3 linked regions of the Arabidopsis thaliana genome follow. Each later gene encodes a partner of the first gene's protein in a complex. Each region holds a gene or a part of one and is shown on either strand. Other genes may lie near its edges.

The links.
Region 2: FUS5 (region 1) and COP9 share a complex: the UniProt entries of both Arabidopsis thaliana proteins name them as parts of the CSN complex.
Region 3: FUS5 (region 1) and CSN5A share a complex: the UniProt entries of both Arabidopsis thaliana proteins name them as parts of the CSN complex.

What each region holds. Positions count from the first base shown.
Region 1 is NC_003070.9:380,907-391,644, reverse strand, and holds FUS5 (Proteasome component (PCI) domain protein), read left to right. Parts: upstream 1-1,836; 5' UTR 1,837-2,076; coding exon 2,077-2,235; intron 2,236-2,343; coding exon 2,344-2,419; intron 2,420-2,506; coding exon 2,507-2,595; intron 2,596-2,704; coding exon 2,705-2,794; intron 2,795-2,884; coding exon 2,885-2,929; intron 2,930-3,035; coding exon 3,036-3,106; intron 3,107-3,238; coding exon 3,239-3,377; coding exon of another isoform or gene 3,378-3,422; exon of another isoform or gene 3,423-3,972; coding exon 3,973-4,061; intron 4,062-4,141; coding exon 4,142-4,166; 3' UTR 4,167-4,368; downstream 4,369-10,738. Other genes in the region: SBI1 (Leucine carboxyl methyltransferase), read right to left, coding at 104-187, 382-429, 522-642, 781-883, 1,081-1,162, 1,246-1,293, 1,395-1,608, 1,702-1,769; AT1G02080 (transcription regulator), read right to left, coding at 4,963-5,217, 5,312-5,512, 5,602-5,736, 5,828-5,932, 6,022-6,213, 6,321-6,474, 6,676-6,737, 6,805-6,951 and 14 more. UniProt on the Arabidopsis thaliana protein: Component of the COP9 signalosome complex (CSN), a complex involved in various cellular and developmental processes such as photomorphogenesis and auxin and jasmonate responses.
Region 2 is NC_003075.7:8,129,399-8,139,805, reverse strand, and holds COP9 (COP9 signalosome, subunit CSN8), read left to right. Parts: upstream 1-4,817; 5' UTR 4,818-4,938; coding exon 4,939-5,022; intron 5,023-5,130; coding exon 5,131-5,210; intron 5,211-5,584; coding exon 5,585-5,766; intron 5,767-6,274; coding exon 6,275-6,382; intron 6,383-6,617; coding exon 6,618-6,757; 3' UTR 6,758-6,926; downstream 6,927-10,407. Other genes in the region: XTH15 (xyloglucan endotransglucosylase/hydrolase 15), read left to right, coding at 1,610-1,885, 1,974-2,167, 2,246-2,645; AT4G14120 (uncharacterized protein), read right to left, coding at 2,994-3,181, 3,376-3,469, 3,559-3,807, 3,908-4,116, 4,255-4,621; AT4G14105 (uncharacterized protein), read left to right, coding at 10,130-10,330. UniProt on the Arabidopsis thaliana protein: Component of the COP9 signalosome complex (CSN), a complex involved in various cellular and developmental processes such as photomorphogenesis and auxin and jasmonate responses.
Region 3 is NC_003070.9:8,105,090-8,115,677, reverse strand, and holds CSN5A (COP9 signalosome 5A), read left to right. Parts: upstream 1-3,616; 5' UTR 3,617-3,782; coding exon 3,783-4,172; intron 4,173-4,299; coding exon 4,300-4,581; intron 4,582-4,667; coding exon 4,668-4,815; intron 4,816-4,918; coding exon 4,919-5,004; intron 5,005-5,530; coding exon 5,531-5,608; coding exon of another isoform or gene 5,609-5,680; exon of another isoform or gene 5,681-5,706; coding exon 5,707-5,796; 3' UTR 5,797-6,104; downstream 6,105-10,588. Other genes in the region: AT1G22910 (RNA-binding (RRM/RBD/RNP motifs) family protein), read right to left, coding at 7,729-8,065, 8,155-8,387, 8,531-8,570, 9,018-9,144, 9,440-9,572, 9,697-9,870. UniProt on the Arabidopsis thaliana protein: Probable protease subunit of the COP9 signalosome complex (CSN), a complex involved in various cellular and developmental processes such as photomorphogenesis and auxin and jasmonate responses.

The sequences.
Region 1 (10,738 bases):
ACCAGAATAAAGAAGAGGGTAAAGAAATGAGAGTCCTTATATCAGAAATTATACATGAAAGTTAGCCCTGCTTTAATCATAATATTCTAACTGCAAAACGAACCTGCCATCCATTATCAAGAAACAATCTCTCCTTTGCAAGTAAAGTTGGTGATGCATCAATGCTTAAGAGTGCACATCCCCGACTCTGAAGAACAGAAACACCGTTAAGCTTTCAGAACAAGTTTAAATGAAGGTAATTGATCAGTACAACATGAACCCATGTGGCAATACTAGAATATTTTAGTGTCATACTAGTATCCATATTTTGACAAAAATCTCAAAAAAGCTTTACTAATGAAGATGTCGCTGTAACTAGAGTAGTAGAGTACACGTTCTTACCTCCAAATTTCTAATCATTTGATGCCCAAATGCATCATCTGGATGGATCTGCAAACAGAAACCCAACGGGTTAGACACATAAGCAATAAGATTCGTATCTGCAATATTATGCAGACAAGGAAAATCACAGTTGAGCTAACCTGCTCATATAAGAAAAATACTGCAGTTGAAAACGTTTTTGACGACCAATTGACGATGGCACGGCTTGAATCGGGGTCCAGATAAATCAAAACACATTCTGCAATAATAAACGTCGGCAGACTGATAATGATATTAGGGATCAAGTAGGTCTATCACCAGTAAGTATCTGTTACCATATATCTTAAACCCGGGTAGAAGAAGAGGGTTGAAGGTTCAAGATAACAGTGTGTAAAATAAATAAAAATTATTCATGGATACCTTAGATCCATATCTGCAAAGGATATAACATCTCTTAATTTTGGTATATCGCGCAGGTCAACTGGAAGTAACTTGTAATGATCACTGAGAACTTGTCCTTCGTCTGTAGAGATAAACAGCCCAACGAGTTAAGAGTAAGCAACTGAAACTAGACGCTAACGGTACAAAGTAAAAGGGGGTGGTTGAGTTAGTAGCTAGTAGAAGCGGAATGAAGAAAAATATGAGTGCACAAGCTGAAATGCATCATAATGAAAAGGATCATTCTACATAATAATACATGGGGGGAAAAAAGGCTCTTACCAATAGAAATAGATGCATTGGCTCCTAGTTTGTCCCTGAGTTGGCTGGAGTTTTGTATAACAGCAGCCTTCTTGCTAGTCACCTAACGTAAGAAGCAAATCCATTTAGGCATTAGACTCAAAACACATGATGGATACTTTTGTCAGCACGCTCATCCAGTAGTACCTCCTTAAAATCAAGTTCCACATAGAGATTGGGCCCATTCCCCTCATCCTACAAAATGAGAAGAGAAGAAGCGAGAGATCCCTGGAATAAGCCGAAGAATGGTGAATTTGGTAAAAGCTAACAAAAAGGAGAAGAAAAAGAAGACGCACCAGCAACTGAAAATAGGTAGTATCAAAGCCAGCTCCGAGAGACAGTATCTGTTTCTTAGAACTTGTCCCGCTTAGAAGAAACTGAGACATAAGCTTTCGGAAGGCAGCCCAACGGGAAAAGTAACCTCGATTAATGATGGGAGATCTTCGAACAGGTCTTTTCACAAAGAGATGAACATAGTCGTCTTTCATATATCCCTTTTTGACACAAGACCTTTAAAAATATTATCTAGGCTCAAAGATCCACAACAACAACAAAAAAAAAAGAAGAGCCCTAATTAAAGAAGAGAGAAAGAGGTAGGCGTACAATTTACTGGCGGATGCATCGTCGTTAGTAGCCTGAACCGCCGCTCTGTTGCTGCGAGATTCCGCCATCGTCGTCGCTCTCTCAGCCAAAATGAAGGAAGAAGAATATTCAATAGTCTCTCTCTTCCCCGGGATTGTTTGGGCTCACCAGACGCGGTTTCTAATATTTCTCTTAGTAGGCCTTGGCCCAGAAACTACGAAATTTGAGCCCAATTATTAAACAAGATTCTAGAAGAATTCGGTCGGTCACATAAAAAAAACAGTAATATAAAAACGGAAGAAGGAAGGAGCAGAGAGAAGAAGTTTGGGATTTTATTCGTTATTAGTGTGGTAAGAAAGAAAACCCTAAACCACCGGAAATCGATTTGTTTGGAAGATGGATATCGAGCAGAAGCAAGCCGAGATCATTGATCAGCTCGTGAAGCGAGCTTCTACTTGCAAATCCGAGGCTCTGGGCCCGCTCATCATCGAAGCCACATCGCATCCTTCTCTCTTCGCCTTCTCCGAGATTTTGGCTCTACCCAATGTTGCCCAGGTACTACTACTTTATGCTTTTCACGATCTAGGGTTTTACATGCTTTTGTTCTTCGCTGATCATAACAACTTGATAGATACTAGTAGCTGATTAATCGTAATTGTGCAGCTTGAAGGAACCACAGATTCTGTGTACCTGGATCTACTACGCTTGTTTGCCCATGGCACCTGGGGAGACTACAAATGTATGACCCCTTTGTCATATGCTATTTCAATTCGTTTTCCCTTTTGTCATATTCTCTCCTCTTGACTTGCTTTCATCGAAACACTAGGCAATGCCACCCGTCTTCCGCACTTGTCCCCTGACCAAATTCTTAAGCTTAAGCAGCTCACTGTCCTCACCCTTGCTGAGTCTAACAAGGTATATTTGTCTTAGGTTCATGATTTGCTCCTGCTATCTACTCTGTTCCATTATCTTTTTCCCCTGCTGTTTGCCTAACTGAATGTCTCTCTCACTCTGCTTGTTATAGGTATTGCCCTATGATACACTAATGGTCGAGTTAGATGTTTCCAATGTTCGCGAACTCGAGGACTTTCTTATCAATGAATGCATGTATGCGGTGAGTACTCTTTAGCAGTCTTCTAATCTCTATTTGACAACTAACTGTGACAACGCATGGTGCTCATTTTTTTTCTTTTACACTTTGCAGGGTATAGTTAGGGGAAAACTGGATCAGTTAAAAAGATGTTTTGAGGTGTGTTTTGGTTTGGGCCTCCTTTTCCTATTTTAACCATTGTGCTTTGTTTCTAAACGTACGAGCCCCCCCTTCTAAACATCATATATCTCTTGCAACCATGCAGGTTCCGTTTGCAGCTGGTAGGGATCTAAGGCCAGGTCAACTAGGGAATATGTTACACACATTGTCCAACTGGTAGTTTTCTTCTTCCCTTAGATCCAGGATTTTTTGCCTTCTATATCTAATTATAAGAACTTGTACGTGATGTTAGAATACATGGCTAATGACGTCCTACTCTTTTATGTGTTGGCCCAAATTGATGTCTAGGTTGAACACGTCAGAGAATCTGCTCATTTCAATTCAAGACAAGATCAAATGGGCGGACAATATGAGTGAGATGGACAAAAAACATCGTAAGGAAGCAGAAGAAGGGGTGGAAGAAGTGAAGAAGTCTCTGTCCATGAAGGTCAGTCGCGCTTGGAGTCCTATTGGCTTCACTTTTCCCTACTAAGTATATTATGTAACTAATATTGGTTACATTCTTTCTTGGTTACTGTCTTGTGACCATGAGTTAGAGTCCAGTCAGCTATTCTGTCTTATATTTCTTCAGAGAATTGTAGTGGGTTTCTTCTTATTAATAGCTTAGGTCTATGTAAGCGGGGATGGGAGAGACTTGATAAAAAAATCTTTCTAGGTCTTTGAGCTTTCCAAGTCCAGTCCTATCATAGATTAAAAAGTTATGTTTCTTAATAACAAACGAATCGATCAGCCAACTGTGGCGGGCTTTTTTAACCGTTCTTTCGTGGAACAAGAAATCTTACATGTTGGATGTAAACATATATTATGAAGTTTTCTTTAATTAAAAACAAACAAGGAACGCAATCACAACGGCTGTTAGTGAAGTGTTAAAGTCATTAGAGGACATGAATTGTTTGGAATGGTAGTACTTGGTTATTGTCTGATTGTTAAATGAAATGAAACAAGGTTCGTTTGGTTTTTTGTGTCTGAAATATGATTGGGAAGGGTGGTGGTCGATATAGTCTTACTTACGTTGTGGGCAGGGGGATGTTGACATCAGAGGGAATAAGGAGATGTTTGGGGAACCAAGTGGAGTGATGGACTACGAAGAAGATGGGATCCGACCAAAGAGGTAACGAATATTAGATATGAGTGAGATGATAAGTACAAAGGAGATGATATAACATACACACATTCAACTTTGGAACGCAGGAGGAGGCATCCTGTAACAAGGTAGAGGAGCAAGAGAGAGCAAATGGTCAGTGCGGATTGACATTCCATTTACCGAGAGTAGATTATGATTATTTGGTTGCGGATTTTCAACTTGTATAAGATCCTCTGTTCTCTCTCACAATAACCCCTTGTTATGTTTGATTTCCCTCATTAGCAAATTTGGTGTCTCTCTGCCCATTAAAAGAAAAATGGCTTTGAATTTAGTATTCAGTAATCAATAGTCTTGACACTTGAGCAAAGCTAGGCGCTTGGATCATATGGAATGATACAGATATTCTCAGTGTTCCGTCTTTTGACCACTAGCCAGCGCCTTGGCCCCTCACATGTTGAAACCTGCTTAGTCTGCGACAGCTGCCTCTTAGGCGGGCATGAAAGTGTTGTTTATTACGTCATCGACTAGATCCCACCATCGGAATTCTGACCGAAACATGTTCCTGAGAACGTTATACAAAGTACTAGTAGTCTAGTACTATATGATGACAATCCCTGCCGATTTCTCACACTCCCTCAGCATAATCATAATCTCTTTCAGTGTTTATGGTCATGTTTTATGACCATGAAAACACAATCCCCGCCGATTTCTCAAACATGTTTTCACCTAACTAATTCTCAAACAGACCCTTAAGAGCAAGGATAAAGGAATAATAGTGTTTTTTTTTTTTGTAATTAGAAAACATGTTTGTGAATCTTGAAGTTAAATAAATAAACTAAGACTCCTAAAATCTCTCCTACTGTATGTATAATTGTTACAACATAATATCAAAATACGCATACATATATACAAGTTGAAAGCTAAAGAGCTAGTGAGAATTGTCTGAGACCCAACCTCCCGAAACCATTCCCTCGTCGACAGGCTTCAGGCCACCACAGGATCTGGCTACCGATTCAAACAGCTTCTCAATCTCAGGCGCACATCTGATGAAGGCTTGTTTCCAGAAGCTATATCTTGGGTTCTTTATTAGCTCAATGAATGTGATTAGAAGTCCCCATGGATGTGGCCTGTTCACAATTAGCCGTTCCAACAGCACTCTAGTTATTTGCTCCTGTATGATCTCCTGTTTCATTCATCCCAAGAAAAAGAAAAAAAAAATCAGATTTCCATGCTCACTAATTTTTCCACACAACTCTTGACAAGCAAAGCAAACTCACCTGATCAGATTCGAAGAATAGATAGAGCATGATGAAAGAAAAGTAATGAGTGTGGTTGTTGGGGTATCGAAGCTGATTGGCGATTGCATTAAGGAACAGATACCGCCCTTCCGTATCAAGTTCCATACTTAAATACTTGAACATCTGCAAGGCCACAACATTTTGAGCCTGTGTCTCACCGGCCTGAAGCTGCTGAATAGCCTGTTATCGCAATGTCGGTTATTTGCATATATATATATATAATAAACTAGAAATCAAAAGAAAAGGCTGTATAGAAATTAGACCCATACCTGCATTCCAGTATATAGCACAAGCGAGTTGATCAATGGTACACTGTAACGGGTTCCAGCTGAACTAGCCTCGCTGGACGATAGAAGTAACTTTGTCTTCAACTCACTTAGGAAAGTTGAATTTTGCTGCCTCGACTGCAGAAAAATTATATGAGTATCTCTTGATATAATCTCAAGAATACCAAAGTGAATATAAGTAAATTGAAGAATCAGGTGTTCCCATTACCGTAAGATACTCATCCACGTCATTCTTCATTTGCTTTGCCTTTAGCGCAGCATCAACCTCAGAAAGGATACAGGGAGCTTCTACTATCTCAGGTAACAAATCAATCTGCAATGAACACGATAATTCAGCCTACAAGGAATATATTTTCTTTAAAATATGTTGAACATGCTGGAATCTCCACTATCATCTCGTACCTTTAAATTTGGGGTAGAAGGATCAGGAAGCCTCATGTTCCGTGGAAAAGAACTGAGGATAATATTCCGCATTTGTATGCAACTTGAAGGAATCACATCACAGAAAGTAAAATGATAATCACATAGGAACTCTGGGAAATCATGAAGCAGAACCAGTAATACTCTCAATGTCCCTTTGTATAGGAAATGAACCTACGCAATTAATAAACACACCAAAAAAGAGACCACTTTAAGTTACCATCGACTATATCCTTTAGTGTCCAATGCAAAACAATTACAGAAGAGAAAAAGGCACAAACCGGTCCTCCGAGTTCAGCATTTCTTAAAAATGGCTCAAGAAACTGAAGCAAGTCCACCAGCAGGCGCTGAACATATGGCCAACCCTTCTGGCCATTTACTGTAAGTAGTTTGGGCATGAAGCTTCTGTGGCTGACAAGTTCTAGCCATGCAAAACTGGAAAAATTTATAAAAACCTCAGTGGAGAAGAAAAAAAATGTATAAAACACGGATCACAGATCAAAGAAAAGAAGATACATATGTCAACAACATGAAATGTTTGACAACATAGGTATTTGACTGCCCTCAAATTTCCTGAGAGATTCAAATTTTTAAGTTTTAATAGAAGCACGGTGAGAAATAGGTTTGTGTCCTAACCTGAAAGCAGGAATCTTAAGAGGCTGCAATGCGTGGAAGGCGTTGGCAAAAGCTGTGAGAACCTGCAACAAAAGATTAATTAAAGTGATAACAATTAATAGCAGCTACTTCAAGGACAACAAAATGCACCTGAAAGTTTGCACCATCCGTCCCAGGATCCAGGGAACACAAGTCCAGTAGCCAGTTGATGAACAATCGGAAATATGGTTTAGAATTGAGTGATGTCTTTTTATCTTCTGCGTCCTTTTGAATAAATCTCACTGTGTCAGCCATGATCTGAAACAGGTAATCAATACCACTCACCTTTTCCATCCATTATAGTAGAAGTTAGATTTATTTCCAATAAGAGTATGTGTCCCCTTACCTCTGAAAGAAGAAATAACCTACTGCTAGACTCCTGCTCAGGGAAATACTGAACAGATTGTCATAAGAAACAAACAAAACAAAAAAAGCTTAGCCGGCAATGTATTTTGGGTATAATTATCCACGAAGAATGCAAAAAAAAAAATGAGCACTCTACCTTCAATATTGAAAAAACAAGCTTTGCATACATATCAATGATAAGGAATGATGGACTCTGAGGTTGCTGAGGAGATTGCACAGCACCGGAATTAATATCTTCAGAAGATATACAATGAGCAACAGAAAGTTCCTACAGAAAGGAAAGCCAAAATCAATAATGATGCCTCTCAAGATTTGAAAGTGCTGATGCTAAAACATTCTTAAAAGGTAAAATCACCAGAAGAATTCGGAAAAAACTCTCTGTTGTATCATCTCCCTTAAGTAATCCAGTCTGGTGCAAATGCAGGACATATTGTGAACATGCGGTTTCATTTGCACCAGGAAGTTCGCAGATTTGATACCAGTTTTTAAATAGCGTGGACACCTGCCAAACCATACAGAGGAAGACAAAAACAAGATATAAACAAGAAGTACGAGAGATGTATGTTCAAACATAAAACTGAAGAGATAACAAACTACAAACACATGTATCTAAATACATCGAATTAAAGTGAAAATTTAAAATCCATCTACAAGACAAAAATAAGGAAAAAAACATGCATACTGAACGAAAATAGCTTCATAGAAACGTTTGTTTTGAAATCCTTTTTGTAGCTTGCAAATTCATTGTGCTGATACAAACATTTTAGCTTTTGATTTACTCTTTTGCAAGTGAAAAATTTAGATATATGCAATTCCCAATCAACTTTTAAAAAAGAAAAGGTAGAGCTCTAAATCAATATAGAAGTTCATAAACGCTAATAACATGCAGACAATTACCCGATTCTGGAAACCCGCAGGATCTGATTCCACATAATCCAAGCTGGTACTCTCTTCTGTGTTAGTGGTGTTGCACGCAACCTAAGAAAAAGCTAACATGTCAAATATACATTTACAGTCTGATTACAGGCAACATTCGGTAATGAAGACATCTGACACCTTCTCATCCTTTTGCCTATCGTTGTTATCATTTCCGGTTGAACTATCAGAGAGGCCAGCTGTGTTAGTAACTGGATTTCGTATGATGTCAATTAGCTGTTGCAATGACTCAGAAGATCCGGATTTTGAGGCAAGCTACAACCAAAACAAGAATACAAATTGCAGCGTCACCAAATATAACAATGCCAAATTTCATAATATTTGAACCTAACCACAATACTTGTCAGTTGGCATTATATGATAAACAGTGTTATGCAGTAGATTTAACCACAAAAAAAAAAAATTGAACCTATCCCTTCCCTAGTTGTATGTTTTCACACCTATTAACTGTTTTTTTATATAATAGAACAAGAATATGCGACTGCAACAACAAACGCAGAAGAATGTTAAAATTGCAACCTTTGCCAGCGCATCAACAAGACTGTGGAGCTCTGAAATGACACTCGACTCCTCAGTGACCAAGGATTGGAGTAGAGAAATAGCAAAGTCAGTTGCGGTCTCTGCGTAACAAACAACTTGTTAAAACAAGTTCACTAGCCAAAACAAAAAAAGAATGTTACCACACAAGGACATCAACAAAGGTTAAGCAATTCAGCATACTGTTTCTCCCTCCATCAAGATGCTTCGCCATGTGGACATTGTACTCCGCTAGGCTAAGCAACTCACGCTGGATAAGACCAATAGTAATATCTTTGTTGAGCTTCCGATCCTCCTCTGAATAAATCACCTGTGTCAAAAGTTTGAAGAAAGATAATTAATTATAACTAAAAATACCAAAGAAACAAATCTAGTATCTATAACCAGTTGAGGATAGGCTCCAACTACAGGAAACAGACTCGACCTAGCACTTATATGATATGTGTTATCCTATGTGTTCTGACAGAAATAGTGACAAATTAATGGAGAAGTAACTGAACAAAGCACATCAGCGAAGTGAAATCTTGAAAAGGTTGTAAACATACCCAACTAGTGAGCTCTTTAACAACACGCTTGCAAACATCACGGATAGCAACAAGTATTGCTAGGTTAGCACTGACGTGAAGGTTACTTGATGCATTCTCGTAAAGAGCCTTGAAAGCTTTTTGAGCGACAGCAAAAGCGGCTTCATCTCTGCTTATACATCTGAGGATGATTTCAGGAACTTCAGAAATTACGGCCTGAAAAATCAATGAGATCTGCATTAGTTATTGAATTCATACTGGATAGAAGAAAATAGGCATCAATTGGAAAACACAGAAACCATTTCCAAAAGTTAGAGAAGGTTTTCAAAATTAACTTCTAATTTCATTTATTCTAGGTGCACGTAAATGGATAACAATTCTGCACTATAACCACCTAGGCACTAGGAAATCAAATACCTGGATTTCATCATCTCCTGCATTATTAGCCACTAATTCCTCCATCTGAAACAGTTTCAAGAAGTTTCTCACATATAAAGCAGCAAAAAAAAAATGCAGCAAGGAAAACACAGGATAACCACTTTAGTAACCTTCTGAGTAACAATTTGACATTTATCCAGTGCATCTCTCGTGGACAGTGAAGGCTGTGTAATATTACTAGCACCAAGTCGTTCCATGGTAGCAGCTGAAGTCAATGTCTGCAGTGATGTTCCAGTTTCCTTGTATATAAATAAGCACAGCTTAGTAATTCATTATAAACCTAAGCGAGTAATCATTTGAAAACACAGTATATCTCACTTTCGTAGCAGCGTCAGAGGATTCAGCCAGATTCAATTCAGAGGTTGGTAGTGACTTAGTAAATTGAAGACTGGATGAGTCACCAGCTGGATCGACTTGTGAGCTTTAAGACAGGTAAAATGATATGTCAACATTCAGCTGTGAAATATACGAATAGAAATGAGAGCAGTTTTATCGATCTGCTTTACAACTAAGCACCTCAAAAGTGAGACTGGAGAAGATTCAAAACCATCCACAGAAATATCTGATGGCCGGGAGACCATGTCCATCCGAGCGTTTCCAGCATTAGACAAAAATTCAGAAGCAACTTTTCCTGATACTGGACCATAACCACTACCAAGCGCAACATCACCAGATGAGCTTGATGCAGCAGATAAACCGTGTGAAGTTTGGGTCGACTGCTTTTGCCAAGGATGTTGAACAAAGTCCTGAAAATGCACACATCTTGTTTAGTCATACAAACACAGAACATACCAGAGGCTACCTGTTAAAAACAGTACCTCATAAACTCTCTGCTGAGACAGGGAGAGGTGTCCAGGTTTTGGACGGAGGGATTCGGGTATAAAACTGACGGAATTCTGTGATAGAATGTTTGGATCGAAAAAGGAGGATCCAGCACCATCTCTATGCTTTCTCCGTAACAACAATTGTTGAGCAATGTCCGCATCAATTGTTTGTATTGCCTGTAGTGACACGGACATAAAAATTAGTAACTAGAAGAAATTAACCCTCTGGTAAACGGAAGTGCCTACACTCCAGGGAAACCTACTTCGGTTATTTGATTCAATCAGCTGAAACAGAAATAAAGTCCGAGATCTAATATCTGACACAAACCTTTTCTGTAGCAGCCTGTTCAATAGCAGCACAACCCAAATCCAGGTTGTCATTGGTGACAAGTTGCACAATTTGTTCAAGAGCATCATTTG
Region 2 (10,407 bases), on another chromosome or scaffold:
GTGGCCTCCTTAAAAAAACAAAAAGGTAACTTATGTGATTACTTTTAAAAAGTTTCCAGAGTGTAATACTTTCTCTAAGTTTTTTTCATTAATATTATCAAAATCCTGAAATCTTAAAATTAGGTTGAGAAATGTTCCTATAACTTTAGGAAAATAAAATAAAATCTAATTTAATGTTATAGTGATTCTTACTAATTGTTTTGTTAAGCAAATTCAATTACGGATAACTGATCCACAGAGGAGAAACCTAGTTTACAAACGTTTGTCAATTTGCCCAAAAAAAAAGGCCGAATAGTCTATTTAAGAATATAACCTATATGAGACTAAAAAAACAGAAAATTTACTAAATCTTTTTGATAAACTATACTAAACTTGAAAAGCATGGGGAAGTTCTCCAATCATAAATATTAGTAACCCTTTATGATTTCTCGTTTTTGTCCTGCAAACTATTATTATATACAGAACAATATGGATTTGATTGGTTTCAATAGACGATCCTTGTATATTACATAGAATAGTTTTCTAGTTCCATTACAATTTCCAAATGATTTGTTACAAAGCTACAAGATTATTCGAAATAGGATTTCATCCATAAGAGAGAATGGTGTGGTCGACGCTACAATGTTGATTTATTGGTTGTGGTTTGCATCTTGGGGATGTCAAATCCTAAGTTTCAAGTTCTTGTAAAAACGTTTTCAGGTTTCTTTAATATATTTTAATATTAATGTAAAAAGAAAAGATATAGCTTTTGTACAAAAAAATTTGTTTAATCACTATGTAGGAGGATGCGATCAAATTCATGGAATGATGTATTATTAGCTTTTCTATCCTCACTCTAAAAACAATACTATAGTGAGTTAAATAATTTGATCATTTCAATGTAGATTAAAATTTTATTAAAAGAAGAAAAATTTAAAAGCCTATAACAAAATAAAAAAGGAGGCTCGAGGTATGATGGGTGTAGCAGAAGAGCTGGCAACAGCTATCGACTGAGTGATTACGAACTCAGTACTCAGTGTTCTCAGCTCACACACTCTTTTTTTGTTCTCTTTCTTTTGGACAGCTTTCATTTTCTCTTTTCTTTTTTCTATTTTGTTTCAAAATTCCATCCATATTAAAATAGGCCTGATCATGAGAATAAAGGAAATACTAATGATGAGTTTCTCAATAATGCAATAAGATGCAATTATTATGAGCTATTTACTATTGAAAATGAGCAAATAAATGTCAAAACACAATCTGGTTAAGTTAGAGCAACTCCATTGTATAGGATTCATGTAGTTTCTAAGAAAACAAAATGTATTAATATTTTACTTTTACATCCAAAAAACCAACTTATATGAGTAATAGAAACGATCCTAATATTAGGAATTTTAGAGATTTTCTCTCATCTGTTTCTTAACTTTTCAATATTTTTATTTTTTAAAATTGTATGAGTTTCTACTAAGAAACTACTGCTGGAGTTGGTCTTAGCTTCCCAATGCTTCTCCACCTATATATATGCATATCTCCTTCTTAAAACTCATCTCACACCAAAACACAAAGCTCTCATCTTCTTTTAGTTTCCAAACTCACCCCCACAACTTTCATTTCTATCAACCAAACCCAAATGGGTCCAAGTTCGAGCCTCACCACCATCGTGGCGACTGTTCTTCTTGTGACATTGTTCGGTTCGGCCTACGCAAGCAACTTCTTCGACGAGTTTGACCTCACTTGGGGTGACCACAGAGGCAAAATCTTCAACGGAGGAAATATGCTGTCTTTGTCGCTGGACCAGGTTTCCGGGTCAGGTTTCAAATCCAAAAAAGAGTATTTGTTCGGTCGGATCGATATGCAGCTCAAACTTGTCGCCGGAAACTCGGCCGGCACCGTCACTGCTTACTACGTAGCGTTTTCAAACTCACACTCACTCATAATGTTGCTAAAACTGAAGAGACTCTTTTCTAAATTTGTTTGAACGTACATGTTTGCAGTTGTCTTCACAAGGAGCAACACATGACGAGATAGACTTTGAGTTTCTAGGTAACGAGACAGGGAAGCCTTATGTTCTTCACACCAATGTCTTTGCTCAAGGGAAAGGAGACAGAGAGCAACAGTTTTATCTCTGGTTCGACCCAACCAAGAACTTCCACACTTACTCCATTGTCTGGAGACCCCAACACATCATGTAAACATCCATCGATCTATTTTCTCTAACAATAAGTGAAAGACGTAGATCTTGACTCTCTTGTTCTTGTCTCTGCAGATTCTTGGTGGACAATTTACCCATTAGAGTGTTCAACAATGCAGAGAAGCTCGGCGTTCCTTTCCCAAAGAGTCAACCCATGAGGATCTACTCTAGCCTGTGGAATGCAGACGATTGGGCCACGAGAGGTGGTCTAGTCAAGACTGACTGGTCCAAGGCTCCTTTCACAGCTTACTACAGAGGATTCAACGCTGCGGCTTGCACAGCCTCTTCAGGATGTGACCCTAAATTCAAGAGTTCTTTTGGTGATGGTAAATTGCAAGTGGCAACCGAGCTCAATGCTTATGGCAGGAGGAGACTCAGATGGGTTCAGAAATACTTCATGATCTATAATTATTGCTCTGATCTCAAAAGGTTCCCTCGTGGATTCCCTCCAGAATGCAAGAAGTCCAGAGTCTGATGAACACATATTACCTCATATTTCTCTGCTTGTTTGATGCAATTCTTAAATTCCTCTGTTATTCCATTGTACATTGTCAAGATCAATAAAGCATTCCTGGTTTCAAAATATAAAACAACTGAAATTAAACCTTTAAAGAGACTACTATTGTCTTTCACTTACCAATAAAGGACAATCAGAAAAATATGGAGACATAAGAATCAACAAGTCTAATGCATAGGTACCTCTAATGTTTTCGTTTCAGTTCTTTGACCTACAACTACAAGTACCTAGATGAACAAGCTCTGTGTAAACAAGTCAAATACGCTTAAACCCTATATACATGACTTTGTTACTAACTGATTAACACTAACAGCTAAACTCAGCTAACAAAAGTTGAGTTTCTTGCTCATTCTTTGGATCAGCTAGTGGCGTCTCAACGTTGTTAGAGCATGTATCTAAATCTGTAACTTCATTTGATGCCCCTTTAGCCTCAATAGCTGAAGCATTCTCCTCTATATTCTTCTGAGGATCTGTATGCGTGGTTTCAGGAGTTCCTAGAAGAACAATGAAAGAAAAGAGACATCAATTTCTAAGGCTACCAATTCTGACTTTATAATTTCAATACAAGCTAATATCATGCATTTATACTATCTTACAATTTACCAAGCCACAGAAGACAGTATTATTATCTGACTAGTACTGACATTGAATTATACCGTGTGCTAAACATGAATATAAAGAGACTAACCATGATTATCCTCTGAGTTCTCTTTGAGATATGAAAGCATTCTTCTGTAATTTACAGAACCTGGCACTTTAAATAGCTTGCGCCGGCAGCACAGCTGTTTCATGTCACAACAGGGAAAATGTCAAAAACAGATTCTTAAATAAGGAACAAGACTGCAGCTTCTTAAAAAAAAACAGATCATACAGAAATTTTGTTGCCACTGGATGAAGTCATCTTCTTGAAAGGGCTATTGTTTCCATGAGCTTTAACAAAGCTATTGGCAGATACGGTTTCAGGAAGTCGGTAATTTGCTGCCATCAATTCACCTCTTTCATCCTTAGGATCTTTTGCATCACCATCTCGGGTAACATCTGCAGCTTCCATCAAGTAAGGAAGCATTCTTCTATAGCTCACAGAGCCAGGGTTCTTGAAAATCTTTTCCGGATGACGAATCTGTATACATATCACAAGAAGAAAATTAAGCAACCAACGAAAAGCCAATATTGTAGTTTAAACGCATCATTTGCTATAAAACCATGAGTAAAAAACATACCACTTTGCTGCCGAGATTGGTACCAACTTTCTTCCCAGAGACCTCACTGATCTCTTGATTGATAGAACCTGCTTCATTTTTCACCAAAGAAAGCTCACCGGTGAACATTCCTAAATCCGGTGGCGTCGTTTGTGAGCATTCCACTACTTCTAAATCACCTCCAGTAGCCACTAATCCATCAACAAGATATTTGCTTCCTTCTCTCATAACTGTTTTCACCATTGTGTAATCATTATAGTTTCTAAACAGATATTGAAATTTCCTAATTCCACCTTCATTATATCAACATTCTCCTAAATTTTCTTAGAAAAACTTGTACAAGAAAAAGACCTTAAAATAAGAATTACCATTAGAATTCGGAGTATCGCAAGGAGATTCCACATTTAGCTCCTTGGTTAGATTTCCCCCTTTCACATGAAAGTCCCAATCACTAGAGATGGAACTAGGAGAGAATACGCGTCTGAGACACAGATTCTTCACGGTGACACGAGAACAAGTTCGGGGCATTTGAGTAACAATTTTCCCTTTGATCGGTGACGCATGATGGTGACGAAGATCCGTGACAATGTGAGACAATGGGGATGCAAATCGAACGGAGGAACGATTGCTCTGAGTTCGTAATTTGCTTGCCATAAGGTTCTGAGAGGTAGTATAACGAACTGAAGAAGACGAAAATCGCATCTTCTTCCTCAATATAGGATCTGATTCGGCCATGGTAGAACTCGCGCCAAGAGAGAGCTACAGAGAGAGAGAGAGAGTGTGTGTGAGAGTGAGAGAGACTGTTTGTTATTTTGGCGGGAACAGACCGGGTGGCTTTATGATGTTTGGCGGGAAACTAAGGCTTAGTGGGCTTGGCCCATTTATCCTCTTGTGTTTGGTCAATTTTTTGGTCGGTTTAAGTAAACCGTATTGAAAAGATTATTAAAACCTGTAAATCTCACAGAATTTATTTTTCTTTTCCCTGGAGTGGTTTTGGGAGTAGAATTGTCATCTTCGCAAAAGCTTCGAGAGTAGTGCAATCGAAACAAGTCATGGATCTTTCGCCTGTTAAGGAAGCTTTGGCCGCCAAATCCTTTGACAAAATCGCCGATATCTGCGATACTCTCATGCTTCAGGTTCGTAATTTCTCTCGCTGTCGTTGTTTCTGATGTTCATTAGGGTTTTGTGAAGTGGATTTTGTGGTGTTAATCGTTCGATTTATCGCTTCTTAATTTTTTTTATAGGTTGCTTCCGAAGGAATTGAATATCATGATGATTGGCCTTACGCAATCCATCTTCTGGGTTACTTTTACGTTGACGATTGGTGAGTTTATTTTCTTCTTTGATGTATTTGTTTGCGTTGTGAACCTAAAGTTAGTTCCTTTATGAAATTAGAGATTGTTTCGTTGAACTCTTGTGAATTTTAGCGCGTCAAAGTTGTTCTTACTACTTCGATTGCTAGGTCCTAGGTTGAATCTAAGGTCTAAAGTCTGCTTTTTACATTACCTTGTTTCTATCCAGTGATTTGAAAAATTAAAACTTGACACAAGTTAGTAGTTGTTGAGACCCATTTAACATTTTTTTCCTTTGTGTATTGATAGTGAGTGTAGTATGTTGAAACTATTGAGTTATGGTTGTGCCTTCTTGACTATGGATTTGGTTTTGATGTTTTGCTGTGCTTGTTTGGAAATACTGCAGTGATAGCGCACGTTTCCTCTGGAAAAGGATACCTACAGCTATCAAGGAGAGGAAGCCTGAAGTTGTTGCAGCTTGGGGGATTGGTCAGAAGCTGTGGACACACGACTATGCAGGTGTATATGAAGCTATTCGGGGTTATGATTGGAGTCAAGAAGCTAAAGATATGGTTGCTGCCTTCTCAGGTAAATTTTTTCTCTGTTTATGACTTCTTAGCTAGTATGAATTGGTTTCTTGAACTAAGCTTGTTGATTGCTTATGTAGTTGTGTACTTTTATTACTTCATATCCCTCTTTAGGTTTTGAGCTTTGATATACATATTGAGATCGAATAGTTGTTTTATTGTTTTAACTTGTGAGGCCTAGTTTAGGATTTCTGTTATGCACAGAACCACCTTTCATCTTATCATTGAACTATTGGAACTCGAATTTGAATCAAATTTCATCAATGTATGTGCCTTATCACTTCTTCATTAGAAAGTAGTTGCTTCTGTGGTCTAACTGAGAGAGAGGTAGGTAGACTCACACAGGAGGAACGAGTAAGCAGTTGACAGACTTTTCCAACCAAATGTCTAAACGTTGATCTGAATTTTGTGAAGTTGTACCTTTTTCCACATCAATTGTTCAACACCTGACCTTTATGGGTCACTTTCCATCAGATTCTAATTCTATTTCTGAATTGGTTTTGTTGTAGATCTTTACACAAAAAGGATGTTTCAGCTTTTGTTGTCTGCCTACTCCACAATTACCATCCATGATTTAGCTCTTTTCCTAGGGATGACGGAGGATGATGCCACAACTTGTAAGCTTCTTTCTGCAATTTCCTTTGCTTACAAAAGATTAAGTACCTCATTTCACATTTCTATTGAATTCTACTGAATTGATTCTTATATTGATACTTTTGAAAAATGTCGAAGAGTTTGTGGCAATGTCTTAGCTTAGTGTTATTGTAGGCATGAATCTTATGACAACCATATATGTTACGGAATCAGAATTAACAGTATAATTGTTTTCTTTATTGCTGGATATATACACAGATGTTGTAGAGAATGGATGGACAGTGGATGCAGCTTCTCAAATGGCGAGTGTGAAGAAACAAGCTGTTAAAAGAGAGCAAAAGGTGGATTCATCGAAGCTACAACGCTTGACGGAGTATGTGTTCCACCTTGAACATTAAAACTAAGTGCCGATCTCCTATTAAGATAGTGAAATTCTAAGAACAGAATTCGTTTTTGAGAGATTTCACAATGACTGATTCTAAGTTGCAACATATCTTGACTCTTTGAGTATATGATGAATAACTCCTACCAATTTTACTCTTATAAGATCAGTTTACACCAACAGGCGAACTAAAACAAACATTTAAAAGATCAGTTTACACAAAAGACGAACTGAAACAAACAAAAGATGAAGTCAATATTATGAGCCAAAAAGGACACAGCCTAAATAACACACGTTTTCAGAACAAAATTAGGCAGAAACAAGAGAAGATCATTTTAGCGACTATAACAAGCTAGCCAATCTCTGAGATAAAAGATGATAATCTTCAAACCGGAGAGGTACTCTAGAAGAATAGGAGCCATTTGTCGATCTAGTAGATGACAAGCTGGGGTTATCAGAGATTAATAATTCTTAATTTATTATTAAATTATCGATAAATGAACAATTTTAAATTTATTGAGAGATTTTACTATTCTTTTATAATTTTTAAAACTGGTTTATGTGAAAAGCAGTTTTTGTAGTTATAATCAACATCCTTTTAAAAATAATGAAAAATATAAAAAGTAAATAATTATTAAGTCTAGAAAACAAAAAGAAAAAAAAATTGATACTGTAGAAATATTAGAAATAAACTCTTCAAAAGATTAATACAAATTTTAAAAAACAAATATTAGTAGGAGTAATAGTTAGAAATACTCAAATGTAAACATAAATTTGTATTAATCTTTTATGTTTACGATAGGTTTTGGTGAATCGATAATTTGTTCATATTCCCTATCCCGTGTGTTTTTTGTTCATATTTTACTCTGTTATATCAAAAACCTAAAGCCTAGATAGTCTCATTTCTCAAGACTGATCCTTTTGTTAAAATCATTTACGCTTTGTGACTTGTGAAGAAGAAGATACATGCATCCTCTGCGCGAGTGAAAAAAATCTCACCTCTCAGTTTAGATTTTCCCACCAATCTAAAGACTGAGAAGGAAGACTTGTTGGTCCCAAATCATTTGTAATTGAATATAATAGTAACAAATTCAAGTTTAAGAAACTCTAAAATGTCTGTTTTAAAAAAGTGAACATGTCAAATTGAAAATCAATTATATAAAATCAAATGACATGCATTTTGGTTGAAAGAAAAACAAACTTCTCCATAAAAAGCCCAAAAACAAGCTAAAAAGAAAGCCATAAACTAAAAGTCTAGGGTTTTGGCGACATTTGTGGGTTTCTAGGGTTTTGGCGACATTCGTAGGTCTCTAATTCGGCGAGAGCACATGTCGCAGTTTTCAGACTCTAGTGATGACGATTCTTCAGGCACCATCCCAGATTTGAGGGTTGATTCTCTGGTTGAAACCTTGAAAACTCTTCTGATGAAAAAAAACTGAAACACTGGCCATGAAGCTTCTTCAGGTCGTTCAAAATTTCATTTTAAATCTGCAAATATGTTTGTTTATGAGTTTTTATATAATATATCTGTTTTACTGTCTATGTAATGTGTGAATCTGTATTTTTTTTTTTTATCTTTTGTTGATATAAAATATATGGATTCCCGTTTTTTGAGTCCACCACTAGAGACTAAGAGTATCTCCAACAAACACTTAAACCCTCAAATTTGAAGGTTTTTTGAACTCCAATAAACCCTCAAACCCTTATTTTTTAAAGGTCACACCCTCAAAAAAATTTTCTATTTCATTTTCGTCCTTATAATTTATATATTTTATAGATAGTTATATTCAAGAGTATTTATAATAAATGACTATAGATTTGAAAAGAATGTACAAACTAACCTTGAGTCACAGTATCTTCTCGGAAACATGTTGGAGAACACGTGTAATTACGTAAATGTCCTTTGTAACATGTTATTTTTCCGAAATACAGGCGATAACATAATATCCTCTTTTTATCTTGTTATTTTCTCTTATTACATAGTATTTGTAAAAAACACATGATATTTTTTGGAAAAAACATTCTATTCAGTTTAATATCTCTTTTTATCATGATATTTTGTAGTAATACACGTTTTTTATTAAGATCACACGTGATTTCTTTAAAAATATATTCTTATTTTTTAGTAATACATGGTTTTTATTAAAATCACATATAATTTTTATTTTTTAAGATTCTGTTCATGTAAAAGAATTTCATAATAATGTTTTTTCTTAAAAATTCATAACGTTTTTTGAAATAGCATGTTTTTAAACTAAATATAACATGTGAAATTTTAATGTTACATGCTATTTTGAAAAATTACACGGATGTGTTTCGTTTACTGTTCATCTTACAACAAATGAAGGGTAGCTTTGTTATTTCCTTTTTTCCGACAACGTGGGTCCATGGTTATTTTGTAACAAAAAACTTTCTCTCTGCTAGTTTCTTAATTTGTATGTTTTATTTGGTTATCTACTAATATTACCCTATATTCAATTCAATTATATTAAATATATCCATATAATTAAAATACATTAAAATTAAAATTAAAATTATTAAAATATAAAATATATTATATTTCAAAACAAAGTTTATACAACAATGATATTACATTGAGCAATTTAACACACATTAACATTATCATTTCAATAATAAAATTATACATGAAATACACGAGTTTTATTTTATGTTTCTTTTTTAATTTATATATAATTTTGTAGTAACATGTAAAGTTTTGTTTCTCTAATATTGTTTGACATTATTTTTTTGAAATGTATGTTTTAAATTTTTTTATGAAGTTTTATCATTAGAACAAATGATTGTCAATATTGAGGGTGTGTTATTGGAGTAAGTGACCATCAAACCCTTATTTTGAAGGTTTGACATCTTTAAATTTGAGGACTTTTTGAACTCCAACAAACCCTTATTTTTTGTGGGTGTGAATAGTGTACCTTCAAATTTGAGTGTGCACTACTCACACCCTCAAAATCTTTTCAAAATTTCATTTTAGTCCTCATACTTATTTTTTTTTTAAATAATTCTATTACATTTAATTTTTACAAGTATATTCATATAAATTCAAATATAAAAAACATAACATTTAAAAACAAATTTATACAACAATAATATTACATTGAGCATATATGGGAGCATTATAGACATAACTACATTGAATAATTTTATAATTTTACATCTAATTTTATAAATTTTTTTATGTTTTATGTTGTGTTTATTTTCTAATTCATATATAATTTATTTTTTTTTTGGTGAGGATATATAATTTTGTATTGTCATGTAAATTTTTGTTTTTGTATATTATTTAACATGATTATTTTTATAGTATGTTTTATATATATTTTATGAAACTTTAACTTTTATCATTATAAGTAATTGTTGTTACAGTACTATGAAAGACTATAATGAAAATTCAAAAAAATTTAAATGTAAATTTGAGGGTGTACAGAGGCAAATGTCACGGAGACACGGAGGAACAGAGGGTCAGTTGATCTTTTGGAGCATTTATGAGATCGAGTCAGGCTTGAATATCCACACCTCTCGGAAACCAATTATGAGATCCCTCGTAACACGAGAGACACTCAACCGGTGATTGGAAATAAGAGTTACGAACTCGCGCTCCATCTTGATGGAAGACTCGGTTTCTGCAAAAGCAGAGCCAATATCTCC
Region 3 (10,588 bases), 7.7 Mb from region 1:
GCTTATATTTTAGTTAAACTAAAAACTTTTATTGTAAAGATGATTAAAAAATATATAATATTATTTTATTTGATTTTAAATGTATAGTAAACTGTGAGTTGTATACGTTTTGTTGATATTATCTATATTGTTTAGTGTTTAAGATTATATACTTGTAGTTTGATTGTTAATTTAAGAGTTTCACCTGTAGTATACTATCTTGTATTAATATCGATCTAAACCCGTCAATTCTAGGATTTTCCAGCTTGTATTAAAAATTGAATCACATCTAACATGTTATTAATTATTGTAGTATATATAAATTATAAATTTTCAATATAATATGTATGAAATTGAATATAAATATTTCAAATTATGACCCGTTACTCAGTAAAAAGTTTTCTTAAATCTATTTTTTACCCTTATAATATTTTTTCATGTATTGAACAGTTTATATTTGTTTTTAAAAATTCAAATTATGGCATATGCAAAAAAACTCTAATTATTTTTTTATAATGATGATATTATTTTTCCGCAAAAATAGAATCATATAACGATGAGAAGTGAACTATAATAATTAATAAAAAATTAATATGATAATTTAGATATCAAACATAATTTGTTGATTTTAACTGGTTACTTTTTGGAAATTAATAATGTATTTTGTTTTTCTAATTAAATTAAATTAATTAAAATTTAGATATCAAATCTTATATGTTGATTTTGATTGGTTATTATTTTTGGAAATTAATAATATATTTCATTTTTTAATTAAATTTAATTAATTAAATTAGTATTTGACTTTTTAATCCTTAAAGAGATAAATTAATTTACTCTTTAAAATTTTATTTCTAATGGCATACCTATGTAATTACTTACAAAAATTAAGGTTACATTTAAAATGTACTTCCCAAATAATATAGTAGGATATAAATTATAATCTACTGATCATAACGCTTAGTTTATAGTACTTATTTGTATTAGACTTTCATTGTACATGGGAAATAAAATCTTAAAACAATCTCTAAACCGTTAAACTCTAGACCAACAACGAACCCAAAAGGCCAAATGCATTTATATGAACAAGTTTGATTACTAGTTCCACCAAATTTCTACAATAAGTTTCCTTGAGATATTCCATAGTAATTTGAAGTTGATTTTTAATTGACATTTGTTGCATTATAAATGAGTAAGATACGCCATATAATTGTTGAAAGACCTAAAGCGAGTTTGAGATCATTAAGATAAAGAGGTAGTCATAAATCGTTTATCGTCAAGGTCGACGAAAAAAAGAAGTAAAGTGGTCATATTCGATTTCTGATAGGTATGTAAGAGAGAGATTAAATGCTTTCTAAAATTTTATACATGATTTGGACCTCTTATCTAATATCATTCACTCAATTTATGGACGAGAACATAACAAAAATTTAAATACTTATCGAAGAAGGAAGAAAAAATATTTAGCAACTTGGCTTTAAAGGTTATTCCACTTGTCACTATTCAAAGATTCGAGTTTTGAGCCTTTGAGTAATACCTTGGTCACCCTTATATTGCAACCACGTGGTATAAAGATTGTAACGCTTTAATTCCAATGACCCCTTATTTTGTGGACTTTTGTCATCAATTGTACCAAGTTTATAAAGATATAGAAACTGAGGGCGTATGAATTGTTTCAAGCTAGACATCAACAAAAAAAATGTTATCCACTTTCTCAAATCTATATATACTAAAGGATGTGTATTTAATCTAGTAGTTTAAATTATTTGTGTAAAATTTACAAACTTTATGTTATTTAATTATAGATTTTAAAAACTTTAATGAAATCCAATGTTATTAAACTAATAATTTAAAAATTAACTTTAAAATCAATTGTTATTGAAAACAGTTTGTGGAGTTGATTCTTATTCATCTTGAAAGATTTGAGAAAACTTCTTTAGTTACAAATACACAAATTCAAATCTCATGGTTTTAGATAGAATTTGAAAAGATTTCTATAATTTTAAGAAAGTTGATGTGATTAATTGTACAATCTTTTCAAATTCCATCTACAATCATGAGATTTGTTTTCAATAACAGTTGATTTAAAAGTAAATTTTAAAATCGTTAGTTCAATAACACTTGATTTTAATAGAGTTTTTAAAATCCATGATTGATAAATTTTACACAAATCACTTAAAATACTAGATTGAATACACTTCTACAAAATCATCAAAATCATATAACTACTTACCCTCCCCCTCCCACCCCCCTCTAAATTAACCGTCATTTTAACAAAAACTGCATGTAACAAAACTTTCAAATTTTACCGAATGTGACAAAACTTTCAAAACTGCATGTAACAAAACTTTCAAATTTTACCGAATGTGACAAAACTTTCAAATGGGACAACACTTTCAAAAACAGCAACATTTACCACATGTCACAAAACTTTCAAATTTTACTTTTATACTTTCACGTAATCTAATTCTATTACCACTTTGTTAGCAACCACTCCTTCCCCATGATCTCAAAATGTATCCTCTCCTCTAAACTTTCTTCCACTTTTTTTTTTATAAGTAATTGTAACAGTCAAACAGATGCATTAACTTCTTCTTTATTGCTCTTCTTTCTCACAAACTCAGAAGATCTTCCATTTTTTTTTTCAAAATCCAACTAAAGGCAATTATGTTTTATTTTGCCAAAATATTTTGATATATGATGTAATTTGGCATTTATTTTGTATCAGCATAGCAGGGGCGGCCATAATCTTAGTATATGCATATAATTGAGGCTGCTCTTAAATTTTAGCGTATTTATATTGTAGTGAATTCTTTGTCTTGTATAATATTTTGGATGTAGGACCTGAATGTTGGTACATGAAGACAATCTAATATTTTTAAAGCAGTTATCATTAAGCATTTAAGCAAGTAATGAAACACAACAACACGGTAGAAATTTAAGCAAGCACTTTGATGATCTCTCTCCTTAACTCAAAACATCTTTATAGTATTGTTGTGTTTCATTATTTGTTCTATGTTAATTGCTTTACAAATATTACACTGTGTCCTTGTACAAATATTTAGGTCTAATGCTAAAACTAATTTTTCTTTTGATTCGCAACACTCAAAATAAAAAACTGATCGAAAGCTAACCTTATGTTATACTCTCTGAGTTCTGACACAAACAAGAGAAGAAAAGAGAGGAAAGTGATTTAGATGCTTTGATCGATGATAGAATGAGAAGACAAAAGCTTGACTTTATAGCTAAAGATCAACGTCTATGCCATAAAGTCAAGCATAATTCACACAATATATAAGTTGAACATGCTATCAAAATAAGCTTACTACATTGGTGAAATTATGCATGTGTGGATATCTCAAGAAATATGCATGAGATGCATTACTCTTCTTTTACGCTTTGTGATTTAAGATATTGTATGCCAAATCTATGTGTTGCCAACATTGATTTCTATACCAATTGGTTGATACAATGACTGGAATTTATCCTTTGATTTGCCAACATTGATTTCTATAAAAGTTAAACAAACTAAAAATAAAAAGGGAAAAATATTTAATAAAAAATGTACAATATTAAATTTCCATAAAAATTTTATATGGTTAATGTTTTGGATTAGCATTAGTCCCCAAATCCCATATTAAGTAAATCCATTTTGAGTTTTGTTCTCGCAAACCGGTTTAACCCAAGAACCCAAAGATCTCTCTCTATTTGTTTGCCTTCTTCTTTCTTTCTGACTCAAACCCTCAAATCAATTCTCGCGATTAAGCAAAACCCTAGATTTATTCTACTCTTCGAAGTCGATTTCAATGGAAGGTTCCTCGTCAGCCATCGCGAGGAAGACATGGGAGCTAGAGAACAACATTCTCCCAGTGGAACCAACCGATTCAGCCTCCGACAGTATATTCCACTACGACGACGCTTCACAAGCCAAAATCCAGCAGGAGAAGCCATGGGCCTCCGATCCTAACTACTTCAAGCGCGTTCACATCTCAGCCCTTGCTCTTCTCAAGATGGTGGTTCACGCTCGCTCCGGTGGCACAATCGAGATCATGGGTCTTATGCAGGGTAAAACCGAGGGTGATACAATCATCGTTATGGATGCTTTTGCTTTGCCTGTTGAAGGTACTGAGACTAGGGTTAATGCTCAGTCTGATGCCTATGAGTATATGGTTGAATACTCTCAGACCAGCAAGCTGGTAAGATATCTCTTATTCATCTCTCGCTGTAGCTCCTTGTTTAATTAGCTAGTTGCTACTTGGATCCTTTATGCAAGATTTTGCGAGTGTTTGATTGATTGGTTATGACTGTAACTTTGAACTATAGGCTGGGAGGTTGGAGAACGTTGTTGGATGGTATCACTCTCACCCTGGGTATGGATGTTGGCTCTCGGGTATTGATGTTTCGACACAGATGCTTAACCAACAGTATCAGGAGCCATTCTTAGCTGTTGTTATTGATCCAACAAGGACTGTTTCGGCTGGTAAGGTTGAGATTGGGGCATTCAGAACATATCCAGAGGGACATAAGATCTCGGATGATCATGTTTCTGAGTATCAGACTATCCCTCTTAACAAGATTGAGGACTTTGGTGTACATTGCAAACAGGTATGTATAATTCTTATTTATCGATTTTAAAACTTGGGAGGGTTTTAATCATCGATCTTATGATTCATTTTTTTTGTATGTGGCAGTACTACTCATTGGACATCACTTATTTCAAGTCATCTCTCGATAGTCACCTTCTGGATCTCCTTTGGAACAAGTACTGGGTGAACACTCTTTCTTCTTCCCCACTGTTGGGCAATGGAGACTATGTTGCCGGGCAAATATCAGACTTGGGTAAATTCTTGTATATATGAAAGAGCAAGTTAATTTACTTTTCATCCAGGTCGTAGTTTGATATATCCTCTTTTCTTACCATTTAATTGTTTACATGATGAAGCTGAGAAGCTCGAGCAAGCGGAGAGTCAGCTCGCTAACTCCCGGTATGGAGGAATTGCGCCAGCCGGTCACCAAAGGAGGAAAGAGGTTTGTCTAAATGGTTGCTTTAGCAAAATTATTTGTTATGTTCTCAATGTTTATTGACTGTCTGAGATACTGGACCATGATCTTGAGCTCATACACTTGCCACTTTTCAAGCTTGTTCCTGTGTAGAAACTTTTCATTTGGCTAATTAACTGCTACTATCAACATCTAGCAACTTGGATTAAATTTGAACTTTTTATTCTTAGGCATTATGTTGACTGGATATTGACTAATAGAAACTCTACCTGCAAAACACTATGTTTTACCTTTTCTGGGTTTGAAATTTCACAATTGAGTGTATGTTTAGTCAAAAATATACAGAGCTATTAAAGTTTGAACTAGTAAAACAGGGAGACTTTGATGTATCAATTTGTCAACGAGTTGTTGCCAATAGTCTATGTCTGCTTCCTAGAGTTCTGTTATCTCTGGCTGTGTGACTCATTTTGATATTGTTTTAATCTTCTTTACATAAAAACATTTGTTTTGGAGATTACATTACCTAAGTATATGTGTTGTGGACCACTTTCAGGATGAGCCTCAACTCGCGAAGATAACTCGGGATAGTGCAAAGATAACTGTCGAGCAGGTCCATGGACTAATGTCACAGGTGAGTAAATACAATCTGACAATGCTGATCCTATTTCCCCTTGCGGTTAATGGATCCATGAAATTGACTTAAAAAGTCTTTCATCCATCAATGTGCAGGTTATCAAAGACATCTTGTTCAATTCCGCTCGTCAGTCCAAGAAGTCTGCTGACGACTCATCAGATCCAGAGCCCATGATTACATCGTGAAGTTGGTCTATTCTTTTGTTTTTTGGCTGCGGAAATTGACTATCGGTTTGACCCGGTTTATGAGGCAATGCCCATTGTTCCCTATATCTCTAGTGTAGTATCTGCTTCAGACAAAGATCTTTGGGTTATTAAATGACATTAACATAAATCGATCATTATGTTTTTGCGTTTGACTATCTTGATTTAGTGGTATTAAAAACCAAATTCCAGATACACACGTGATGTCACAGTAATCATGTGCCTGTTACGGAACCATGTGCAAAAAATTGACACAAGCATACAAATGTTCTCCAACGATTGAAGCAACAATGATTCTAGGCCCTCTTTTCTTTCTGTTCTTCATCACATGAAATTCATCAGGATGTTGTTTTTCACATTTATGTTTGAACAGCATTTCTTTTGTTAAAAGCGAACAAATTCTATTCTAAAACCGAAATTGTCATTACAACAAGACCACGATTTAAGGGTACTAAAAGCGGATTAAGATTTCTGCATTCGAACAAACTGACTACTAAACGAACATCAGGCCGAGAAAACAGTCGGTAGGAAGAGATAACGTGTGAAGTTACTTGAGTAGGATTAAGAGTAAGGTAGTAGTAATTGATAGAAGCTGCGTGGGGCTTAATCAATAATGACATCCTCACTTAACCAGCATTACTGGAAAACAAGAATAAGAAACCACATGATGATGTCAAAGACTTTTTGGGCCTTCGCGTATCCCTAAATGGGCCTATTTACGGCCTAATACTTGTCTAATGTATAGTTGGGTAGAACAAGAAGGTCCGAGAGTTCGAAGCTTAAGCCATTCTATCTTTTCTGGGGATCTAGAAGATCCAAATGATCAAAGAAGATATTATGAAAATTTATTCTGGAGATTAGTTTTGATATATTGTGATTTGTTTCACTACTTTTGTTCTTTTAGCATTTTCTCGAAATGCATTTGGATTTTAGATATTCTCTAGTCCATGTTTCAAGCTTCTTGGTTAACACAAGCTTAGGTTGTTAATTTGCACAGACACAACTGTTACTCTGCCCTGAACAAGGATCTTATCTCTACTCCTCTACTCCATCTATATCATCATGCTTGACACCAGGAAATATATGATATAAGACATTTTTAAAATGATACAATTGAGGAAGGCATGAAGCAGTGTTTGGGGGTAGTGTCTTAGACTCGATTTTCATCAACCTCAATGGTTTGATGGGAGCAGCAGATTGTATGTAATTAAGCTTTCATTAAGGGAGTTTCTTTCCACTAGTGTTTTCTTACAAGATAATGAGAGGACAGACTTGAGAGGTGACATGGATGGGCTACAACATGTTTTCTCGCAAGATGTTGACTCTAGCACACAACCACGTCTTAATGTTTTCAGCCCTAGAAGGTGTCAAACTGGACTGAGAAGCATACATTGGGAAACATGAGAACATGAGGAGATGTGAGTACAGTGTTCAGTATGAATATTTCCAGTATCCTTATGAACATACTAGATTCAAAAACTGAAAAGCATGAAGTTGTATGTGTTGCATAGTATATTCTAGGAGGTTATGAGATGTTACTCCCCAAAGTTTTTAACCACTAGTAACAGTAAACAGAGACATTTGAGTAATGCATTTTTATTTAAGAAACATAATCTGAGACTTGAGGACTTAAGTGACTAAGTCTTTAAGAATTAAGATACTAAACATGTTGATGCAACAAAAAGGCTTGCAGGGTTTTGTGCTGATCATTTTGCTTAATTATGCAATCGTTTTTTCAGTCTTTCAAACAGAAAATTGTTTTGGTGCTTGATTTTTTTTTTACATTATCCTAACAGACATTTTCTTTGTCTTGTTGATTAGCCATCCTTAGGCTAAAACAACATAAACTAATTAAGCTGATACATGCATCAGCTTGAGATTGGCACATGAGTGATTGATGATGATGATGCTCCATTAGCAATATCTCTCAAAGAGAAACCCATTCTCTCGAGAAGATGCAATTGCAAGAAGGTGAGAGATGACAAATACGACATGATCACCATCTGAAACAGGAGATCCCATTGGGATCTGCTTAAAAAGCCACCTCCAAATTCCATAAAATGGGGTAGCTTTTAGAGCAGAGGGAGAGAAACTAAGTGCTGAGATTAGCCAGGAGCATCCTTTAAACCATAGAATGGCTCTTGACCTGAGAAGAAGAAGATGATGATATGAAGCTTGATAGCTACCAAAGACTCTAAGCTTCTTTAACGGTAAGGAATAAGAGGTGGTTGAAGCGGAAAGCCTGTTACGCCTGTGGCACAACAAAACACACTGCCAACAATGTTAGTGTATGTGTATATCTTTGTTGCCTTTGGTGTACACATGTCTATTATCATATACGAACCTTGTTGCATAGAAAAGGTCGGAGGAGAGTAATGGTGAGGGTTATAAGAAGACAAGTGATGATAAAATGGTTGTGGTTGAGAGAACTGGACCCCACCATGTCCTCCACCACAAGGATAAAAAGGAGTAGCGGATGCGGCTGCTGCGGTTAGTCCACCGCCTCCGCTGTTTCTGTTTCCATAGACTCCGTATTGTCCTCCAGAAGTGCAGCCGTACATGCCGTATAAGTTCTGTAGCACATCGTATTAGTATTAGATTAAGGCTATGCTATATGAATATATGATCATGAACAAGTAAAGATTCGTTGAGACAGAGAAAGATTCTTAAGTTCGTTATACAAACACTTATGTCAGAGAAGGAAAAAGTTACGGACCGTAGGGAATGATGAGTAGTCTGGCGAGTATGGAGAGTACCTGCGAATATCAAATCAATGTTTTTTGCTTTTACAAAACAAATTACACTTTAAGAGTGACAACAAATATGAATGCACGTGGCACGTGGTCATGAGACAGGAGGAAGCATGTGATGAGAGAGTAAAATGATTGGTGAAAGATGGAATCAGTATAATTTTTAGTTTTACAAGCTGTCCGTTGACCACTTTGTCAGTCATTTAAATCTCTCTATAGACTGTGAAAATTAATCGATCTATTACTGATAATAATAATAGTGTCGGTCCACAAAGAAAATGGAAACATTAGAGGACAGCCAGCTATGTAATGCAATTGCATTGTTCAGTTTAATAGACAAATATGAGTTGGCATTCTTTTGGTCTCAAATGGTATCATGTTATGTTTGATGCATGCATGTACTATCATCATCATCATCATTACATGAAAAAAGAGGGAAATAGAAGAGTGTACCCAAAGAGATTGAGAGGGAGATGGGGATAGTGAGTGAAGGTGGGTGGTTGTGGTGGTGGAGGTGGTCCAAAACCAGTCTGCATTGTGCTCATCATCACTCTCATATTGTTAATCCTGCCTCCTCCTCCTAACACATTCACCATCATCATCACTATCACTTTGATGATCGACATAATGGTCCATTAACATCTATCACCAACTATTAATATTAAGGTTATTATTAATTCCAATACTTGACCACACAAATTTCTAAAAAACCAACTTTGTATATAGAAAATATAGCTAACCATATATAGTAGTAGTAACTAAGAATTATCCTTTTTCTTGATCTAACTCATAGCATCATGAACGTGTATATATTATACACACACACACATAAGCATCTAGACTTTTGAAAAGAAGAAAGATAGAGAGATGATAACCATGGTTAGGAGTGGAGGGTTTGGATCTTTGAAGACCGAGAGAGGCGAGGTTGCAATTTGCTCTTCTCCCGTCGATCACCGGAGTAGCATCCACACAAGCACTCCTCGCCGCCTCCGCTTCCCTGAATGTCACCTGATCGATCATCATCACCATTTAACTTTAGTTTATTAGTTGATTCCTCTTTTAACTATATAATATACACAAATAACATCCATTCTCTTTCTACATATAGGAACAAGGTTTTGTATAAACGTACGAATCCGTAGCCCTTGGATCTACCGGAGGCCTTGTCGGTGATGACTACGGCTTCCAAAATCTCTCCAAACTGCTCAAAGTGCTTCTTCATCGTCTCCTTATGCGTCTCCCAAGCTAATCCTCCCACAAACACCTTCGTGTATGTCGTGTCTCCCAGCCCTATTCCTCCCGCCATTTTTTCCTCTCCGATCTCTTTCTCTCTCTCTCTATATTAGAGTGAAAACAAATTAGCTTATCTTGAGCTAAGTCTATCTCTATGTTTCAGTACTAGTGGGATTGTGAGAGACACAAGGGGTTAATATGCAAGAAGTAGGCTACAACAAAAGGAGTCTATATAAATAGTAGGAAAGAGATTAGAGATCTACTTAATAGATTCATAAGATAAGTTTTTTTTAGGGTTGATTGATATGTAATGAGAACAAGAAGAAGAGGGAAGAGAAAAAATGAAAGCGGAAAAAATAATAATTAAAGTGTTATATGGAGAAAGATAACAATATTGCCCACATTATCTAACACCCTCGACGCATTTTTTTGCTCGTGTCTCTCACGCAGCCTCAGCTCCAAGGATCTGTGGTCGTGACGCGAGTGAATATGCGTGAGAATTGAGGCATCGGGTATTTTATTTTATTGAATTATCCCCTGCCGGTACGTTCAATTATTTAAAGGGAAATAAAGGAGGAAAATTAGAAATTAAATGATAAAAATGTTTTATTTCCTCATTTTTCTCGAGCTAAATACGTAGTACATATTTAATTTTTGTTATTTTGGAACAACTCACATCTTGTTGGTCAAATTTAAGCAACGGTTGTAGTTGTAATTGTACTTGTGTCATTCATTGGTATGCGAACCATTGATCTTATTGATGTATAGTTGTGGTTGTATACAAAATAATA